2 linked regions of the Lonchura striata genome follow. The protein of the gene in region 2 binds, or shares a complex with, the protein of the main gene of each other region. Links are inferred from orthologs where the notes say so. Each region holds a gene or a part of one and is shown on either strand. Other genes may lie near its edges.

The links.
Region 1: the proteins of PAWR (region 2) and SPSB1 are in contact, whole or in part, in a crystal structure (PDB 2JK9), measured with the Homo sapiens proteins. The link is inferred for Lonchura striata from reciprocal best matches to the Homo sapiens genes PAWR and SPSB1. Residues at the interface, in NP_001341661.1 of Homo sapiens: Glu68, Leu69, Asn70, Asn71, Asn72, Leu73, Pro74; in NP_079382.2 of Homo sapiens: Arg77, His78, Pro79, Val80, Ala81, Gln82, Gly110, Thr111, Tyr129, Val216, Trp217, Gly218.

The regions. Positions count from the first base shown.
Region 1 is NC_134626.1:1,321,514-1,331,684, forward strand, and holds the start of SPSB1 (SPRY domain-containing SOCS box protein 1), read left to right. Parts: upstream 1-5,401; 5' UTR 5,402-5,489; intron 5,490-10,171. UniProt on the Homo sapiens protein: Substrate recognition component of a SCF-like ECS (Elongin BC-CUL2/5-SOCS-box protein) E3 ubiquitin-protein ligase complex which mediates the ubiquitination and subsequent proteasomal degradation of target proteins.
Region 2 is NC_134607.1:48,542,431-48,552,623, forward strand, and holds the start of PAWR (PRKC apoptosis WT1 regulator protein), read right to left. Parts: upstream 4,678-10,193; 5' UTR 4,673-4,677; coding exon 4,196-4,672; intron 1-4,195. UniProt on the Homo sapiens protein: Pro-apoptotic protein capable of selectively inducing apoptosis in cancer cells, sensitizing the cells to diverse apoptotic stimuli and causing regression of tumors in animal models.

The DNA of each region.
Region 1 (10,171 bases), on a different chromosome or scaffold from region 2:
CTGGGCAGGCTGTGGTCTCAGGGCAGTGATGGTGGTGTGCACGTGCAGCCCCGAGCCTCTGCCAGGTGCCAGAGCCTGCGGGCAGTAGCTGGCTGCCTCCGTGGAGGGGTGGCTGTGCCACGGGGCACAAACTGCTCTGGGGGCTCCCAAAATGATGGGCACAGGCTGAGGAATTGTGGCAGCTCACAGAGCTGTGTTTCCAGCAGCGCAGCCATCACCGGGGGAAAGCTTGCTGCTCAGAGGAACTGCTGGCTTTAGGAATCTTTTCTTTTTAAACCAAAATGCCCATGTTAACTTCATTCCAGTTCTTTGTATTTGGTGTGAGGGAACAAGTTTTAATGAGGAAATGACCAATGAGAGAGTAGCTATATTGTTAGGAATAACAGGGTTTATTCCTCGCTTACAGATGACTGTAGCATTAGAGTTTTCCTATTTTTGTACACTTGCTTGATAATATGTGGCTGGCACCTCTTGAAATAAACACTGAAACGTTTATTTGCACTTTGAAATAAGCACATGGGTTTTCCCCAGGGAGCTACTGTTCTTTGCAGCTGAAAATAAGGTTTATTTGTGAAGTCTCTATCTAGTGGGTCACCCCAAAATTTATCAGAGATTTTATTAAAATCCATTCAAAGTTTCCACATGTTTTCCTTGGTGAGTGGAGCTATCTGGATTCTTTGGGGGATTTTTCAGAAGTATATTTTTTTCCACACAGACAGTTTCTGTTAAACTCTTTAATACTTAGCATTTGCTAAATGAAAACCAAATATTTTTGCGTATACAAAATTTATGTCTGGAAAGAGAGAGACTGGATGGGAAGAAGGGTTAAATGAGCAACAAATCTGATGAGGAGGAATGGCAGCAATCCACTGGGCTGTAGGCCAAGGAAGCAGGGCTATTTTTATTTTGTGAAAGTTATTAATAGAAGGTGTGCACCTTCTTAAGAGCTTGTATTAATCTTTCTTTGCAAAGGCAGCTCCATGGAGTAACTTCTTAGAGTCTGTTTCTCCCATGAGTCATTATTGATACTGATTTTTATCAATTTTTTTAATGTCAAGTGCATTCCTACAATTCAATGGTATGATTATATGTTTTACAGAAAACTGGAAATAACTAATTTTTAAATTCAACTTTTATAAATCAAATTGTAAAATCTCTTTTTTTTCCCCGCGAGTAAAGTTTTGTGATTCTTTTGATGTTTAATGAATGGAGAATTATACTGATAAAAAATAGTTTTTAACCAGAAGTGTCTTTTAATTTCTTCCAGAGATGGGTGGTCTTTCCCTGTCGTCCTGGTGAGTGAAATTTCAGGGTTTTAGTTGTGCAATGCCACAATGTCACTGCAGTGTTAAATGTTCACTCTGACTCTTGCTGTTTGGTTTCTTCATCCAGGCAAGGCCAGGACTTTTCAAAGTAAGGAGCAGCCAAAGCCCTTTTAAGGTGAGAAGATGGAATCACCCAGTGCTGTGCAGGGTCCTGGAAAGGCCAGGCCAGGAAATCTCCCCTGCTCCACATTTCCATTGCATTTCCACGGACACTGTCAGCCCAGCACAGAGTTCTCCAGAGCACACACTTCCCAGAGCTGCGTTTTTGACTCTGAGCTCAGGGGCTGCAGCTGAAGTTGCAGCTGAGCCCAGCTGTGGCTCGGGGCTGGCAGGGCCCGTGGAAGGTCCCAGAACTGAGTCCTGACCTCCAGCTGATTGCCACAGGAAAATCCCAGCTGACCCCTCATCCAGGCAGGGAGGGGAGCAGCAGCAGCTCCATCGCAGTGCCATGGGGAACGCTTGGCTCTCCTGGCAGGGGAGCATGGCAGGAATTAAATCAGTGTTCTTGCTGCACTGCTGCTGATGCACCCGTGCTGGTTTTCCTGGGAGGAAGGGCTTGGAAGGAAGGGCTGTTTTCCCTGCAGCTGGAAGGGCTCTGCAGAGATGCAGGGATGGCACTGGTGCTGCAGCAGTGCAGGGCTGGCACAGGGTGTTGCAGCAAAGCAAAGCTGGCCCTGCTCTCACACACCCAGAATTTCTCTGTACAAGGATTTCCTGCAGGAGCTGAGTGTCCAGCACAGAACTGACCCTGCTCAGTGTCCAACACAGAGCTGACCCTGCTCAGTGTCCAGAACAGAACTGACCCTGCTCAGTGTCCAACACAGAGCTGACCCTGCTCAGTGTCCAACACAGAACTGACCCTGCTCAGTGCCCAACACACAGAGCTGACCCTGCTCAGTGTCCAACACAGAACTGACCCTGCTCAGTGTCCAACACAGAACTGACCCTGCTCAGTGTCCAGAACAGAACTGACCCTGCTCAGTGTCCAACACAGAACTGACCCTGCTCAGTGTCCAACACAGAGCTGACCCTGCTCAGTGTCCAGAACAGAACTGACCCTGCTCAGTGCCCAGCACACAGAACTGACCCTGCGCAGTGTCTGGCACACAGAGCTGACCCTGCTCAGTGTCCAGTACACAGAACTGACCCTGCTCAGTGTCCAGCACACAGAACTGACCCTGCTCAGCGTCCAGCACACAGAACTGACCCTGCTCAGTGTCCAACACAGAACTGACCCTGCTCAGTGCCCAACACAGAACTGACCCTGCTCAGTGCCCAGCACACAGAACTGACCCTGCTCAGCGTCCAGCACACAGAGCTGACCCTGCTCAGTGTCCAGCACACAGAGCTGACCCTGCTCAGTGTCCAACACAGAACTGACCCTGCTCAGTGCCCAGCACACAGAACTGACCCTGCTCAGCGTCCAGCACACAGAACTGACCCTGCTCAGTGCCCAGCACACAGAGCTGCTCTCCTTTGCAGAGGAGCTGCTGCAGGTGCCTTTCCTCGGCTCTTCTGAACCTCTCTGGAGCCAGCTCTGCCAGCAGCAGAGGGTGCTGCTTGCCCGTGCTGCTGAGAGCCTTTTCCCAGCCCTCCCCTGCCCAGGGCTCAGAGGGCTCGGGGCTCTCTGTGTGAGCAATGGGATCCCCTCTGCTGCAGCCTGCCAGCTGCAAGGGCAGTGTCCCTCCCATCCACAGAGTCTGTCCCAGCCTCACACGCCATGCTGGGAGCCCCAAGGATTTAAATATTTCGCTTCAGACATCCAAAAGGGTTTTCAGAAGGTGGATGCTCATCCCTGTCAGTCCCCAGGGCTAATCTGTAGCGCTGAATGCTGATCACAGGAAAGCAGCCCTGCCAAGCCATTCCTCCTCCTGCCTTCCTTTCAATCGTCTCAGCAAAAACTCACAAGGATGGGAGCTGGGAAAGTCTCAGCTAATCCAGGCTCCATCCCCAGCCAGTTCTCCAAAAAGGCTTAGAGGGATCCCATTGCAGGCCACAAACGCTGGCCCCTGTCACTCACCCCCTCTGCCTCTGTGCTGCTGTTTGAGATGGAGACAGCGCTCAGAGCAAGCGACTGAAGGTCAGCAATTCCTGCTTCTTGAGGAAGCAAGAAAGACAAATGCTAAGGAAATAAAAGCAGACAGGATTCCATAGGAGCTGTGATCTCATCTGGCGAGAAGCCACCACAAAGCTGAGAAGTTCTGCTTCAGCACTTGTCATGTCTGGTTTCCTCCAGCTTCCCTGCTGCTCCTCTCACTCCTCCACCCCACTTCTCCCTGAAATTAGTGGGGGGAAGTAACTTAAATATGAGCAGGACCAGGTCAAAGCAAACTAGTTTTGAAAAAGCTACCCAAATATGTATCTATTTGACATAAACTCTCCTATTTTTATTTTGCAGGGTGTGAAAGAACGTATTTGTGCTGTATCTACAATGTCCCCGGTGTTTCTGGTCAGCTAGAGTAATAAATTTATTCTGATGTGAATGTGGTTTTTTTTTTTTGAAGGACCACAGTGGCTGGCATAGAGGAACTATTCCCCACAGATATCAAAATATGCTCAACAAATTATTGAATTAACCATGCTCTTTTTCCACGAGTGCCCCAAGACCATCAGTGACGAGAAATGTCAAGACCCATGCTATTGTCCAACCCCAAAAAGCAGTGACTGCAGCAGCGTGCAGGGGCATTCATTCCACACTGACTCAGATGGCAGGCTGCCACCTCCTGAATCACTCGCACCACTTCCTGCAGCTCCTAGGTGGTCCTTGGAGGTATCCCATGCAATATGGCTTGCTGAATTTATGACAATCCACGGCTTTACAGCTTGAGCAGCATCGCTACAAACCAGTCTTTTTGTCTGGAAACGCTGAAAAATTAATAATCTCAAAGGGGCACTACAGGGCCAGATTTGTCCGAAGGGTTGATTTTAGAATGAGGACTGAAAAGAACAGAATTGTACTTCCCTGGTTTATTTCTGTAAACACATGAGTCTTTAAGAAGCAAACAGACATTCCCAGGAGCGGTTGAAACAAATCACAGAATCGGTTAGGTTGGAAAAGACCTCTGAGATCACCGAGTCCATCCTGTGACATAACAGCACCACGTCAACCGGAGCATGGCACAAAGTGCATTTCCTAAACACCTCCAGGCACGGAGACTCCGCCGCCTCCCTGGGCAGCCCCGTCCCGCGCCCGATCCCCGTTTATGTGCAGAAACGCGGGACCGGGACACCGAGGATGGAGCGGTGGCCGAGCGCCCGCACGGTGCGCGGGGATGCCAGCGCCACGCCCGGGGCTGGCCCGGTCTGCAGCGAGCGTGGGGAGCAGCGCGGATCTCACACGGAACGGAGCCGGCACCGGGGCGGGGATGGGCACCGGGGCGGGGATGGGCACCGGGGCGAGGATGGGCACCGGGGCCGGGATGGGCACCGGGGCGAGGATGGGCACCGGGGCGGGGATGGGCACCGGGGCCGCCGTGGGCACCGGGGCCGCCGTGGGCACCGGGACCGCCGCGGCGGGGCTGCCGCTGTGCCCCGCGATCGCGACCTCGGCCGGCGGCAGCGACCCGGCCCGGCTCCGATCCCGGCCCGGCTCCGATCCCGGCCCCGCTCCGATCCCGATCCCGCTCCGATCCCGATCCCGCTCCGTTCCCAGCCCCGCTCCGATCCCGGCCCGGCTCCGATCCCGGCCCCGCTCCGTTCCCGGCCCCGCTCCGATCCCGGCCCGGCTCCGATCCCGGCCCGGCTCCGTTCCCGGCCCCGCTCTGATCCCGGCCCCGCTCCGTTCCCGGCCCCGCTGGTCCCCAGCCCCGCTCTCTGCTCGGCCCCGCTCCGTTCCCAGCCCCGCTCCGTTCCCGATCCCGCTCCGTTCCCGGCCCCGCTGGTCCCCAGCCCCGCTCCGTTCCCGATCCCGCCCCGTTCCCGGCCCGGTTCCCGGCCCGGCCCCGCCGCTCCCCGGCCCCGCCCGCCGCCGGCGCTGCCCGGGCGGAGCGGCCGCGCCCCGGGCCGGGCCGGGGGCGGAGCGGGGCCGTGCCGGGCGCTATTTGGGCCATGTGATGCCGGCCCGGCCCCGCTGGGCGCGCCGGAGCAGCGGGCGCGGGGCTCGGCCTGCCCGGGGCACGGCACGGCACGGCGCGGGGCCATGGTCCGGCGGGCAGCCCGGGCACGGTAGGAGCCGGAGCGGGCGGGGCGGGGCGGCTCCGCGGCCTCTCCGCTCTCGGTGCCAGCGGAGCGGTGCCAGCCGCGGAGCCGGGGCGAGGCCGAGCGCTGCCGGGGCCCGGGGCACCGAGGGGGCGATGGGCACCGGGGGTCTGCAGCCGCACCGGGGATGCCGCGGGAGGAGCGGCTGCCGGAGCCCGGGGCCGGGTGCGGGTCGGAGCCCGGGGCCGGGTGCGGGGCTGAGCCCGGGGCCGGGTGCGGGGCTGAGCCCGGGGCCGGGTGCGGGGCTCAGCCCGGTGCCGGGTGCGGGGCTCAGCCCGGTGCCGGGTGCGGGGCTCAGCCCGGTGCCGGGTGCGGGGCTCAGCCCGGTGCCGGGTGCGGGTCCGGGAGCAGACAGCAGCAGCGGTGCCGATCGCCCCGGCTCGGGAGGGCAGCGGGGCTGTTCGCTCCGGGGCCGTGCTTACCGCGGGGGGCTCCGGAGCGCACCTTACAAGGTCTGGTTACTGTGTCTCTTTTCTTGCTACACGAACCTCTGCCAATGCAACGGGGGCTTACATAATCCTCCTGCTGGAGGACCTGGAGTGCTGTTGTAAGGTCAGTCTTGCTGTAGCCTCCTGCTGGACTGTGCCGTGTTTTGTCCTTATTCCCTGGCTAAAGTGAGCAGCCAGGGTGCCTGGTGACCATGCCTGATTCAAAAACTGTCAATTGTCTGAGCCATGGCTCGAGATAAGGAAGTTTACAAAACGATTGTAAAAGTGGGAGTTGCTCCTTGGAGAGAGATTTTTTTTTTTTTTTTTTTTTTTTTTTTCCCCATGATAGCGATGCAGGATGGCTCAATGAGCCTTTTGTCCCAGGAGTAATCTTTCCCACCCCTCTAACATCCGATTTCTACACCAGATGCAGCGTTGCAAAGCTCAGCGGCACAGACAGCTCAGTCTTGCTGGAGTAAGTTGGCTGCTGCATCGCCAGGACCAAACTGTGCAGTGCCTCCAGGGCCTCACAGTGACAGTGGTGTGGCTATGGGATGGTCAGAGTGGCTCTCCCAGCCTGCAAGGAAGGAAATTTCCTGGTGAGTTATTAAGGGAACAGCCAGGAACGCGACAGAGCCGTGCTGCTGTTTACAGATGTGGAGGAGCATCTTCCCTGAGCTGCCCGCGGGAGCTGCCCTGTCCCTCCCTGCCTGTCACCGTGTCACCGTGCTGGCCCTGCCCAGGCTCTCAGTCGTGGTGCTGATGGATATAAAAAGCAGCAATTTGCTCTTCACCCCCCTGAAAGGCAGGGGACGAGCTGCAGCAGCGGATTCCTCAGGGGATGTTGGGTTGTTGCAGTGCAGCAGCCTTTGCAGCCTCTCTCCTGTGCTCTGGAGGTCACTGAAGTGCACTGTGATGTGCTTTGGAGCTTGTTTGTAAACTGCTGGATGCTGCCGAGACGTGGGCTGGTGTTCCAGGAACTGGCCAGCTGCTACGTGCTGCGTTCGTGTGCAGCCACTGCTGCTGCTGGATGTGGGGAATGGCCTCTGCTTGTTGCTCTCCTGTGCCTGGGTTGTTTTTTTCCCCTGGACCCTCTTTCCTTCCCTCAGAAAAAGTGAAAGCAGTCTGCAAGGTCTGCTTGTCTTCTGAGGGCTAATTAAGAATTCATTAAGTTCCTGGAATTAAAATCTGTAGCTAATGAGCCAGTGAGGACACTGTGCCAGGGTTTGGGCCTGAGTGCAGACACTGCTGACAGATAATACTCCAAGTCACAATGTACCTTTTGAAGAACACGAGATGTGCATTGGAGTATGTTCTGTGGCTCTCGGAAGTTTGTGTCTTGCTCAGATTTTGTGGCTGATGCCTCTGCATGCTCTGGAATTGGCTCTGAGGCCAGTGCAAGTGGTGGCTGCGATTTTGGGCTTTAGTACACTTGTACTTCCTGAGCCTGGAGTCACCCAGGGCTGCTGCTGACAAGGGGTGAGGATTGACTGGGGCTGGCAGGGAGCACCAGTGAGGTGATTTCAGCTGGGCTGAGCTTATCTCCCTGCCCTGTGGCAGGAGCCTTGTACTTGCATTAACAGCTCAGCATAGCAGCAGCGAGGAGCAGCTGACAGACCCGCCTGAGCTGTGAGCTTCCCAAACCTGGTCTGTGGCTGGCTGCCCTCCTTTGTGTTTCCAGGTGTGTGGTGGAGCTCAAACCCACAGCTTACCTTGCCAAGGCACGAGTCAGACACCAGCTCTGTCAGACAAAGCTGTGTGGTGCCTGCAGAGTAGAAGTGAGTAAGTGTCTGGTACCAGACTGCAGTCACTGGGTTCCTTTGCTGGTGGCCTTTGCAGAATGAGCTCATGTCAAGGTGTTGACTCACTTTCAGTTACTGCACTGCTCTGGGAAACAAAGAAATCTTCCCTTGAGTTGCTCCATGTGAGTAACTGCTATAGCTGTCTCTGTTTCCATGAATAATTGCTGGGGGAAGAGAGCACTTGTCCTTAACAAAGATAGGATGTGGGCTACAGGTAATGGTCAAATACTCTCTGCTGAGTGTGAGAAAATATAGCTAAAAAATAACAGTTTCCAAGCACATGGTGGGGAAAATGTGCTGCTGTTAACAGTGTTTTCCCAGGGACTGCTAAAACATCCATTCCCTTTTAACTCTGCACTGCTCTGCCCTTAATGGTAATGCTTTGGAAACTCCTGGGATAAAGTAAATTGATCTGTGGTACTGGTCAGAAAATTCTCTTGCAGACTAAGTGGTTTTTACAGCCAAAAGAAAAATCCTTCTGGGTGTTAATTTGGTACAGGAACTGCTTTTATCTGTAGCTCTGGGGTGGCATGAGCTGCCTGAACTCCGGAGCGTTTAAGGGAAGGAGATACAAAAAAAATTCCCAGTAAGGTTGTGGGGGCAGTGGGGAAGGCACTGACAGAACCCTGAGCTGCAGCATGAGCCCTGTCCTGCTCCCAGGGAAACTGAGTCACTGTGCCAGCCCGAGGGGCTGCCTGGGGGCTGCAGGCTGCCCTTGCAGAGCCCTTCAGGGCTTTAGGAACCTCTAGCTCTTTAGGAAAGAGGAGAGGGAAGGTGTCCTGGAGCACAAGGAGAAGCTGTGAGTGCTGCTGCAGGGCTCAGTGCTGCCTCTCTTTGTCACACGTGTCCTGCCCGGGACTGCTCTGAATGTGCTGAGCTGGCACCGTGTGTGTGTGTGTGTGTGTGTGTGTGTGTGTGTGTGTGTGTGTTTGTGTGTGTGTGTGTGTGTTTGTGTGCACCAGGGAGCGGGGTTTGGAGGGATGAGTGCTGCAGGCAGGCACAGCTGTGGGCTGGCTGCCCCTTCCTCCACATCTCCTCCGTGTGTGGCCACGGCTCCCCAGGCACCCAGCGTTCCCAAAGGCAGAATTCCCAAAGGCAGAATTCCCAAAGGCAGAATTCCCAAAGGCTTTGCCTGTCTGCTGGCTGAGGCTGGGCTGGATGCTGCTTCCAGGCTTTATTTCGTGGGCTCTGCACTGGGCTGGTTCTGGCAGTGGGGTGGGAAAGGTGGGAAATGTCTTACCTGTGCCACAGGGAGGGGTGGGGGTTGGAAGGTGTGGATTTGGCACTGTTCCACTCCTGTGGGAGATGCCTCATCATCCTCCCTTCTGCTTTTATGTGTTGTACTTCAGCGTTGCAGGTCAGATTCGGAGCCTTTTGGGTTAGCATCTTTTTCTCATTTAGTAGAGAATCAGCCACATGGCTTTGCCTTAGCTTTTTTCCTTAATGCCGGAGGGTTTTGTCCACTGATGTTTCCTTGTCTCATGGCTTTGTGAGTTTTTTCTGTTCTAGAACATGGGAAGACAGACTTCGAGTGAAGCAGTGCTGCTGCTGTATAACAATAAAACTTCCCCTGGGAGGAGAAAGTAACACATTTCTTTGTTCTCTTACAAAGCTTTCTCTTTAAGGAAAAGCTTTTTACTTAAACAAACAAACAAAAGGACCCCAACAACCAGCAGCATCTGCCAGATACCAAAGTGAGAGCAATTGAGAGCTTTGGGGCAGAAGGTGGTGATATCTGGATGGAGTTACCAAACATGGGCTTTTTCTTTTAGCCTGGAAGGGGAATTTGATGAAGCTTCTAAGTCAGAGCAGCTGTGGGGATGCTAGCTTCAAACTGCTTTCTTTGGAGAGCTGCTGTGTTATCAAGTCAGGAATCTGTCCTGAGGAGATCCCAGATGGGGCCTTGACACCATAAATGTACAAAGGCACTCAGTTGCACAAAAACTGCAGAAACAACTTCGTCCTGAAGAACGTGAGCCACAGATGGTAAACTGCCAAGAAAAGCAAGCAAGGGGTAAGGCCAGGCCGTTCTCTACATGAGAAGGCTACATTGGTCTCAGATGTTTAGAAATTCTTGGTTTAAACTTCTGCAGGCTTCTCCCTGGCTAAATTCTGGTTTGAATGGCCTCTTGTAAATTCAAATCTGCTTCATGCAGAGATGTGAAAAATGCCTGCATCCTAGCTCTAGAGTCTGGAGGTTAGGAGCAGGCCCTGGAGTTTGCCAAAGTGTGCTTCTTGCCCTGATGCCCTAATTCATTGCTGGGTGGCACCTCGGGCCCCCTGGCTCTGTGCTGCAGGGGGGCAGCATTGCTGCTCAGGGAGGGCAGAGCAAGAATGCCCCTTGGAACTTCCCCACAGCAGCCCGTGGTCCTCCCTGCTGTGCCAGCTTGGCAGCAGCCCCACATGGAGAATCTCCCGT
Region 2 (10,193 bases):
TGTTTTACAACACGGCTAACATTAGACAATGGAAAGACACTACCTTCATTAATCTCAAGATAAAACATGAAGATACTTTAATCCTCAGGTAGGGGATCACCAAGAAAGATAATGCTGAAGGCAAACTTCTAATCAAAAGAGGTCAACAGCTAGTACAGGATTCCACTCCTCTCTCTAGTTTCCAGCCATTCAGAGAAGGATTTCAATTCCTTTACAACACACACAGTAATTGCTATGCCTGACACATGTAGCACTTAAATTTTCTTGACGTTTTTCCAACTGGAGCACAGCAACTTTCTGTTAGTCTCAAATGAGCACAGTGGACTTCTCTAGCAGCAGGAACTCTTTCCCCACAGAAAGCACTCACTGCTCTGCTTACTTCCAAGGCCGTTGTTCAGTACGACACCTACCAAGCACCACATATGCACTGCCTTCTAAACACACAGACTCCTGACAGGGAGCCATCAGTGGGGATGCAAAAAAAGTTGTATCTTTACAAGAGATGAAAACAGACTGGCTGAACATCCTTTGCAGAGTCCGTATTTGAATTACTTCCACCTTTCACTGCAGTATTTCCCAGGAACAGGTCAGGAGACTTGTGTCTCGGGTCTGGCAGCCTCAGGTACAAAATACACAAATCAGTGTTCCTTACACCTTTTTAAATCATTCATCATTGTGTTATTAACAAAAGAACACTGCCCAACTTAGATCACTTTCATCTGGTTAAGTAGAAATGTAAACTTTATCTATACTGCACATGTTACATAAAACCCAACTATACAACTGTCCTTCCTAAATGAAGATTTTGTTATATATACTCCTTTTTTTTCAAAAATAACCACAAAAATATTTGTTACTCTCCATTTTGAAGTTCAGAAAAAAAACCAAAAAAACCTTACTCACACAGCTATACCAGCATAATCCTCAAACGTAAAGTTACTGAAGTAAAGCTGCAGTTTCACCAGCACAGCCTGGCTTGCTTGGAGCTAGACATAATTATTATAACAATACAAAACATAACTCTCATCCTATATATGGATCCTCACAAAGCACTGTCAGTAAATAATGGGAGCTCTGTGTTTCTTAAGTAGGCCTTAGCACAACCATAAATGAGAAAAATGCCGCAAGTACACTCAACACCTGCATCAAGCTAGTACCTGCAAACTGAGAAACTGAGAAACACGTTCCAAACATAATTAAAAATGGTTATATAATTTAATATTTAAGGAAGATAACATACATAGTAATGGTAATTGCATATAATTCAGTTACCTTTTACAACCTGAAGAATTGTTATGAATCAACAAAACCCAAATCCCACAGCACTTAATATTTAGACAAAATCCAGCTTTCAAGAAACTATTTTACAAGTGCTCAAAGGAAAAACATTGTATTTCAAAAGTCACCATTACTTAAATAAGCACTAGTGCTGAGAAGGTAAAAACCAGCCTTTACTTTTATCATGGTGGTTTCTAAATACAAAGCATTATCAACTTCCACCTGTCACCTTTCACAGTTTCCACTATGGTTTCTGTCCTCCACCAACATCCACACAAAATACACTTAACACACAGAACTCTTTAAGAACTGGCCCTATTATCTTCCCACTGAACAGGAGAGAAATTAATCATTAATAAGTAATCTGCTAATATTCTTTATACCTGTTTCAAGATAACTTGGACAACACAAACTTTTCTTATTCTATCAATAAATTCTCCAGCTCCATCGCAAATCAAATTAAATCCTACTTATTTGGGGCAAAAACTATTTTTGTATTCAGTTTTGGGCAGAAAAGCATTTAGGAGTACATTTTTTCAACAGGTATTTTTCATTTCAGGGGATCTCACTAGTCTCCACCACAGTGGCATGATGATCATAAAGGGGAGATATTTAGCACAAAATGTCTACTTCATTCTTACAAAAATTATTTTCTTGAAAAATAAGACAATGAAACACGAATCAAAGCTCTAAAATAAGATCTCCTGAGAAGAAATTTTAAAACATACACCATGAAGAGCTACAAATGGTAAAATTCAGGGTGTACTACCAAGTCACTATGTATTGACTGCACAGTGAAGCTATGCCTAGTATCAAGTGAGAAAGACAGCAAGAAATGGGAGTGCTGCAGATTACTCCAACAAGCCATCATCTATATCACAGCCTTCTTTTGTCTGAGAACTTCAGCTGACCAGCTTGAATCAATACCTTAAAACATTTCCTCATGACTACAGAGCCGTATGAAAGACATGACAAGTAAATAGTCTGCAAAGCATTAACCTGTAAGTAGGTACTCACATTTGACACTGGAGACTGTTTTTGAAGCTGTTCGCTACCAGGAATGATCTAGTATTCCCTAGCTAAACAATTCTCAGGAATGCATGTGGCAATGAATTTAACATTTAAGAACATTTAAGAAAGGCGAAATACTGAAAAGAGATAGCTCTGCGTACATTTTTTACACTGGTAGAAAATGCAACACTTACTAGTAGCAAGCTTCCCCAATAACACCTTGTACAACAGTTACCTACAGTTATTAAAATCTGAGCCCAAAAATGTGGTGAAATACTTAATTGCTACTTATAGAAGCAATTAGTGTAAAGGTACAAGAAGTTTCCAAGAAGCGCCAACACGTGGCGACACTCAGCAAAGTTTAGGGAGCAGGTGAGAACTCATTTATCAAGGCCTAAATATATTACCCTTAATACAAAAAGATACCCTTAAAAATGCAGCAAATTCAAACAGGATTCTAATGGCTGTGGAGCAAGGAATGTGCTTTCCTGGAAAGCAAGACACATTTTGAACAAAACAAACAAACAGAAACCCCAACCACAAGCAAACTCACCAAACCCCAAATCACACCATCCAAAAACTACCACAGGAACAATAGTTCAAAAATCTATTTCAAAGAACTGGGACGTTAGTCTCAAAGAGCAAAATGAAACCCACTGCTCAAAACCAACCAACCAACCAGAGTAAAACTAGGGACAGGGTACACAACAGAAACCCCTAAAAGACCATGTCATACAACACCCACTGCAATGTGCAAAACCATTACTGACTGGGCTAGTATGAGTTCACTTAGAGAAGTAAAGATGCAGCATTTTAAGGTTCCTAAAAAAGGCACAAGGGGCAGGTATTTAGGAGGGGGTCCGTATAAAACAAACAAGGTACAGTCTACGAGGCTTGCACACCCTGAAGAAAAAACTTAAAGAACTCACTTGTATTCATCACTTTACAAAACAATGATACTGACCTATGCCTAAACTCTTTACCTCAAACTAAAGAGTATGCCAGTACTTGATCTCAAAAACCACAGTTATAAAGATTTCTACTGTTCCTGAAACTCATTTCTCAACCTTTCAAGACCACCTCACATAAAAGGGTGTGAAAGTGCCTAGGATGTCACAATAAAGGGTTAGTAACTTCAGGTGTGAAGAACACGATTTCATCTTTTCCTGCTGCTTCGGAAACAAAGACTTTTAATTTTCTAGACCTACTTTAATAATCCATAATATTAACCAGAAGAAGTACAAATTTTCTTCTATAAAAATATGGTGATCACCATTACTAGTGCAAAACTGTTGATAGAAATCCAACTCTGTTCAGTTTCCTGTGGCCTTTCTTATTAACTGCAAAACAAGCTAAAAGCTTAGTTATCATTCTTCTGAATTCCTCTAGGAGTATTACAAATCAATGCCAGATTTTTATACTAGTAGCAAACCGCAGAGGACAGTGGTGTTGGCTGATAAAAATATCTTCCTCTGCCTCAAAAAAATGCTCTTCAAACCACTACATTTTTTCCAGAGCAGGAAATTCTTCTGGATTCCAAACGGAATAATATTTACACCTGAACATCTATTCCAACCTGATAAATCAATTTTCTCTCATTACTATTGTTTCGACCATACTTTTAACAGGCACGCGTCTCAGTTTGATCCTCCAAAAGGTTTGAACTTGCTCTCTGCCGGCAAGAAGCTACTAAAAAAAAAAAAAAAATGCCGCAAGTTACGACAGGTCTAATTTATTTAGGATAAATGACACCTCATCTGTCCGTCGCTTGGGACGCCGCCGTGCCCCGACCCCCGCGCGGCAGGCGCGGCCCATGGCGCAGCGCGGGCAGCCCAGGCACGGGCGGAGAGCGCTCCCCGGCAGCGGCGGCTCCGCCGCGGCCGCGCCTCCCCCCGTCCCCGCTCACCTCGGCGGCCGGGATGTTCACCACACCTGTCGACCTCCTCTTCTCCCTCAGCTTCCTCTTCTCGATCTGCCCCTTCCCCTTCCTGGCGCTGGGGCCCGAGCTCTTTCCCTTGGCGGTCAGCTTCTCCTCGCCCTCGGGGGAACCCGGTGCGGCGGCGGGCTCGGCCCCGCGGCTCCCGGCGAGAGGCGGCGGCGGCTCCTTGGCGGGAGCGCCGCGGCCCAGGGCCGCGCTGGCGAGGCTGACGCAGTTCAGCGCCCCGCCGGCGGGGGGCGCCGCGCGGTCGGGGGGCAGGTTGTTGTTGTTGTTGTTGTGGAGCTCGGCGGAGGGGCCGCCCCCCGCAGGCCGGGGCTCCCCCCCGCCCGGTGCGCCCGGGGCCGGCGGTGCCTGCTTCGCCCGCATCTTCTCCCGCTTGGCTTTCCATTCCTCCAGAAAGTCCGTGGTGCTACCCCCGGCGCTTCGGTAGCCGCCAGTCGCCATGTTCCCGGCGGGCTGGACGGCGAGAGCGCCCCACCAGCACCGCTGCCGCCGCCCGCCCCGAGGCGGCTCTGCTGCCGCCCGGAGAGGAGAGGTCCCGGCGGGTCGGGCGGGAGAGACGGGGGCGGGAGAGTCGGGGGCGGGGAGAGAGGCTCGGAGTAGCACAAACACCCTGGAGAGAAACAAAGGGGGGACGTGAGCCGTCCCGCCGCACTGCCCATCCCCGTCCCGCCGCCTCGCGACCTCCCCGGGAAGCCCCCGACCCTAGGGGACGGGTCTCCATCACCGGCCGCCCTCGCACGCTCGGCTCCCACGGCTCGGACCGCGGCGCCCGGCCCGGCGCGGCTCGCTCCCCGGGGCTCCCCTCACCCCTCGGCGCGGGGCCGCCCGGCAGCACCCGCCTCCTCCGCCCGCCCGCTGCGGCCACGACGGCCGCGCAGCGCCGTCCCTCGCCCCGGGCCATCGGGTACCGTCCCCCGAAGCCGGTGCCATCCCCCCGCCGCCCGCTTGCCTGCCCGGGGAGCCGCGTTCCCGCGCGCAGCAGGGCGGGGCGAGCGCGGCCGGCGCTCACCTCCCGCCCGGCGGGGCCGCGGATCGGGCGCTGCACAGCGCCGGCGGCACCAGGTGAGCGGCACCGCCTCCCACCGTCCCGGAAGGAGCGGTGCGGCTCCGAGCCTTCCCGAGCTCCCTCCCCTTTCCCCATCGCGGCGCGGACACAGCCGAAGCCAGGGCGGAAACTGCCGAGATGGCCCCGACAATGGGGTGAGGGCGGGGAGGTCCCGCCCGGCCCGGTGCCCGCAGCGCTGCGCCGGCACCTGCCCCGGGCAGCGGCGGCGCGGGGCGGACACGGACCTCGGCGCTCCCGACGAGCGGCAGGAACGGAGCGGGGATGCCCGGGCCGGGACGCCGCCGGCCTCCGCCGCACTCCGCTTCCCCGGCGGCTTTGACGGGCGGCGGGCAGGGGCCGCCGGAGCCCCGCCGGGCGGGGCCGGAGAAGGCGGTCCGCTGTCACACCCCTCCGCGGGGGCTCCGCCAAACCCGCCCCGCACCTGCCGCAAAGCCTCGGCTGGAGGGCCCCGACGTGCGGCCGCCGCCCGCGGGCAGGTGCCGGGCTCGGCCCTGGGCGGGGCGGCTCGCTGTCCCCGCCGGCCCGCCGAGAGCCGCGGCGGAGCCCGGCGCGGTCAGCCCGCGGCTTCGCTGGCGTCGGGGACGCGCCGCGCCGGCCCGGCCTCAAAGCGCGGTGCCGCCGCCGCGCTGTGCGGCGGGGTCGGGGCGCGGTGGGAAAGAGCCCGAGGTCAGTGGCTCCCGCGGCAGAATGGCTTCCTCTGGGCCGCGCCGGTGCTGGGCAGGCTGCTGCTAGCCTGGTGGAAGTTCACTCCCGGGGGCGGAAGGTTGGGAAAGATCCTGTGTTTTCCTGACGTTACAAGACGCCAAGATTCAAGGGGTTTCCGCCAGTCATGCAGCAAAGACTTGACAGATGTCTCGTATAGAAATAATAACAGCCCTCAGTGGGGAAACCTGACTGTGTTAAATGTTAGGAAACGATCATGCAAGGACCGTGGTGGGAGCATGTGCTATCTGTTGAAGAGCTTATGTAGGTGATAATATGGATAAACGTGCACCGAAAACTCAGCTGTTTTTTTGGTTTTTCGAACTCACTGTGTCTTTGTAACACCCTGGATCGTGGTACTTTTGAAAATCACAGCTTTCAATAGATTTGTGGCTTGCTTAATCGTGCTTTATGAGTGGTATGTTGAGGAAAATTAGTGTATCAGTGCCACCTTTCCAGCTGACTCAGGACAAGATACAAGCTTGCATCAGTCAGAGGAAATCCATATAGCCTGGATTTACCTAGCTGAGAGCACATGATCACCTTTTCTCCTCTTTTCAGATTCAGTCCTGAATTTGTCCATCTAGTTAAAAAAAAATCAGTAATACTTCAGAATATAAACTTTGCAATTATTTTTAGTTTCTTTTTACAGAAAAATAAATATATAGGTGATACGGATAAAAAATATCCAGCAAAATGGAGCTCCAAGTATCTGCTGCTAGGCTCTCTGCACAATGTGAATAACAGGATTAGTCCATGTAGCCACTTGTGCCTTAAATAAGCCACTACTTCATTCTCTTTCACAGCAGTGGGCACAGTTTCACCCTGCCAACCTTCTCTGCCCTTCTGGTGATCATTCATTTACTTGGACTTTTCACTGACCTCATATCTGATTTCTGCTCTGGTTTGGATTTAGGGGTGTTTCTGGTGTGGTGGTTCGTTTTGAAGAGGCATTAAAATGTTATTATAGGTGGAAGTTAAGTTGCAGCTTCATTACTGCGGACAAAACCTCTTATCTTTCAAGCCAAGGGAAAATCCCCAAACAAAACCAGCTAGTTATTCAGTGTTGGGTTGGAAAGCTGTAAGTAGGCGGAAAAATAGATGGCAAAAACATAGTTCTGGTACTCTTTTCTACTCGCCAGTACAAAATAAGTAAAGTTGGTTCTAAAAGAAGTTTTGACTATGCACTCTCTTGAAGAAAGAATTCTTACCCACACTCTTATGTGTAGTTTTTAAATTAGTCAAGTACTCAATTGTATTTCTAGAAAACATAATCTAGAAAAAGGATTTCTGATATGAGTTCTTGTCACTCCTATCATGTAATTTTTCCCCCATTTATACAATGAAGAGCTTTTCTTGAGAGAATCATATGATTGTGAAAATACAGTATTTCACCCTCATTATTACACACCATGAGCAGCACAGCTGGCCAAATATTAGCAAAACAGTCATATTAGAAAGTTGTTGTGTATACAGCATGTTGTGTATATTGAGAAATACAACAATGTACTTTAGTTCTTAGGACACGCTCAGTTCTCTGTTACCCAGGTCATGCCAGCTGCCCCTTGAGCCCCTCTCTCTGTGGCAATCTGTAGCAGCTAGCAAGGCTTAGATGTGCCTGCCCCACTTCATGTCCCATGTGCTCACCTTTCTTATGTGTAGGAGCTGACATGTCCAGGCTTTAGCTGCATCTACCACTGCTGGTTTTTTTCTCTCTACTGTAAAAAACATTGTGAGGTTGGGGGAAGGGGGTGTTTGGGGTTTTTTGGTGCTTTTTTGTTTTGTTTTGTTTTTTGTGCCAAAAACGCTTTGTTTGTTTTATAGTCTGTTATAAATTAACAAAAGTTATGTTGTGGTGAGTGAGGTTGGGCTTAAGTGCCCAATACAGAAATGCTGACTGTCAGATGTTTGCATCTCAATAAGGTTGTCTGTGCTGGAGAGCTTTCAGGGATAAAGTCCCAAATAGTTTAAGTATCTGTTTTCCTCTGCCACAAGGGAGAACAGTTTAATAGCTTACAAACGTTTTTAGAACAACATTTTTCTCTTTTCTTACAAAGGAAAATTAATCTTCAAGATATCCTTAAGTCCTAGAAATACAATTCATTTTATTAGCTATGTTTTAAGCTGGCATAATGTAAGGGTCCTTAAGCCTTAAGATATTGGTTTTTATATATTCTGGAATGACATTCTTCCCTAGAGGTAAAATTACCACCAGGATTGGGTAGGATGATATTGGTCTCCTTTGCCATGGAAAAAAATACTTCATTTTTTAATTTAGAGTAAAACCCATGATTCATTCTTAAAATCACAAGGAAATGAAGTGCCTTTTGGGGTTGGGCACTTCAAAGCTGCCTTCTTTGTAAAGGGTTGCAAGCTGCTTCAGGTCTTCATAATTTCTTCTAGAGATTAAGCCAAATTATCCAACCTTATTAACGTTCTGAATTCAAGTTTATCTGAGCCATAATCTTTTCTGAAGTGGCAATTTTCAAGAACTGGAAAATAAAATAGAGAACATAATAGCATATTAATGGCTGAGGAAATTAAGGACAACATCCAAATTCCTGCCCAGTGTCTGTTTACTTGTTACCATCACACTCTGAGCTTAGCAAACATTTGTTATATACATTCGTGTTCTGCACTGAAACATTCCCTCCATCTCACGCTCTTCAGCATCTCTCCCCAAAGTCTCTGTGTTCACCTGCCTGATTCTCAAACACACATGCTCCTCCTTCTGCTCCAGACTTTGCCTCTGCCTATTACTGGGATTTCCATGAAACTCTTCCACTTGGTGCACCTGCCTACTGCTTCCCATACTGGATCCTCTTTGAAGTTCATTCACTCATCATTCTTCATCTTTCTTCTCCCAGTCCAAACTTCTACAGTCACATACTTGCTCTACCTGCTTTATCACTCACGCTTTATTAAACTAGGTTTATTTAGCTTGCACTGATGATGTTCCACTAAACTTTCCCTCTCTGTTGCTTTAAATTTTACTTTCTGGATAACCCTCACCCATATCACTGTACCCTAACTAACCCACCTACCTGCTTATTTCTGCACTATCTGTCCAGAAATGCTGTTGCTTAAAATTGCTGTGATTTAGTGAAATCTTACAGCCATATTTTTGTAGGAACAGCTGTTCTTTTTATCCATAAAATTTCAAAAACCTCTCTTTAAACCTTTCGTGTTAAATCTCTGGCTGTAACTTCTGTCTAATCTTACCATAAATTCCCTGCCTATGTTCCATGACATTTCTATTGTCAAATCTCACCTGAAAGTAAAATAGTCCTCAAGCATATAATCCTCCTTTTTAACCTTTTATTGCTAGTGGTCTTGGGTGCTTTTGTCTAAATGCAGGTGAACTGCTATCCCTTTCAATTTAATACTACTATCTGCTACTTTTGAGCTATGTACACTGTTCTGAGAGGCTTAGCCTATCATCAGGGATTTTCCATTTCCTCAACTTTTCTTGCAGAAATTGATTAAATTTTTCTCTTTTTCCCCCTCACTACAGATGGGGGGCATAGTGCTAACCTTCTGGCTAGGTTTCCCTCTCTAAGGTTCTAACAACTCATTATGTTCTAGTTGCTGTAGTCAGTGGTTTAAATGGATTGCTTTCTTACATTTTGTGTCTGCAAACTTGCACAAATCTGACAATCCTGCTTTTAATGAAATGCCATTTTTATCCTATTTGCGGTGATACCGAGTTGCATGCTTAAACCTTTTTTTTTTTAAAGTGCTAAGGTCTGATTTGAAATCTTATGTGTAAATAAAACAGCTTTGTGAAATAGCTGGATTTATCAGCAGGCATTACTGAGTGCATCCTCTAGTCTTATTTCTGTATGTGTTTTGCCATTCTTGAACTCTGCTATCATTTCACCAAAAAGCTAAGTAGTTTCTTTGAACTAGTTTGGTTTGACAGACAAACTAGTATTGTTTCTTGCAGCAAAGCTTATCATCTGTCTGATGGAAGAATGCAGTGTCAAAAGGCAAAAAACAAACTGACAGAAGTTTGCTTGATGTATTTTTTTTTTAAGTATTTAATCTTACAGTATGAAAAAATAATTCAGAGATTTCCATCTGTCTCCAGTTGGCAGTTGTTGGATAAGAATGACAGTGGGGTTGGGAATGGATTCAGCATCTGTGCAGATGGCTTTGGAAGTGTGATGAGAATGCTTAAAGGATGTAAGCCAG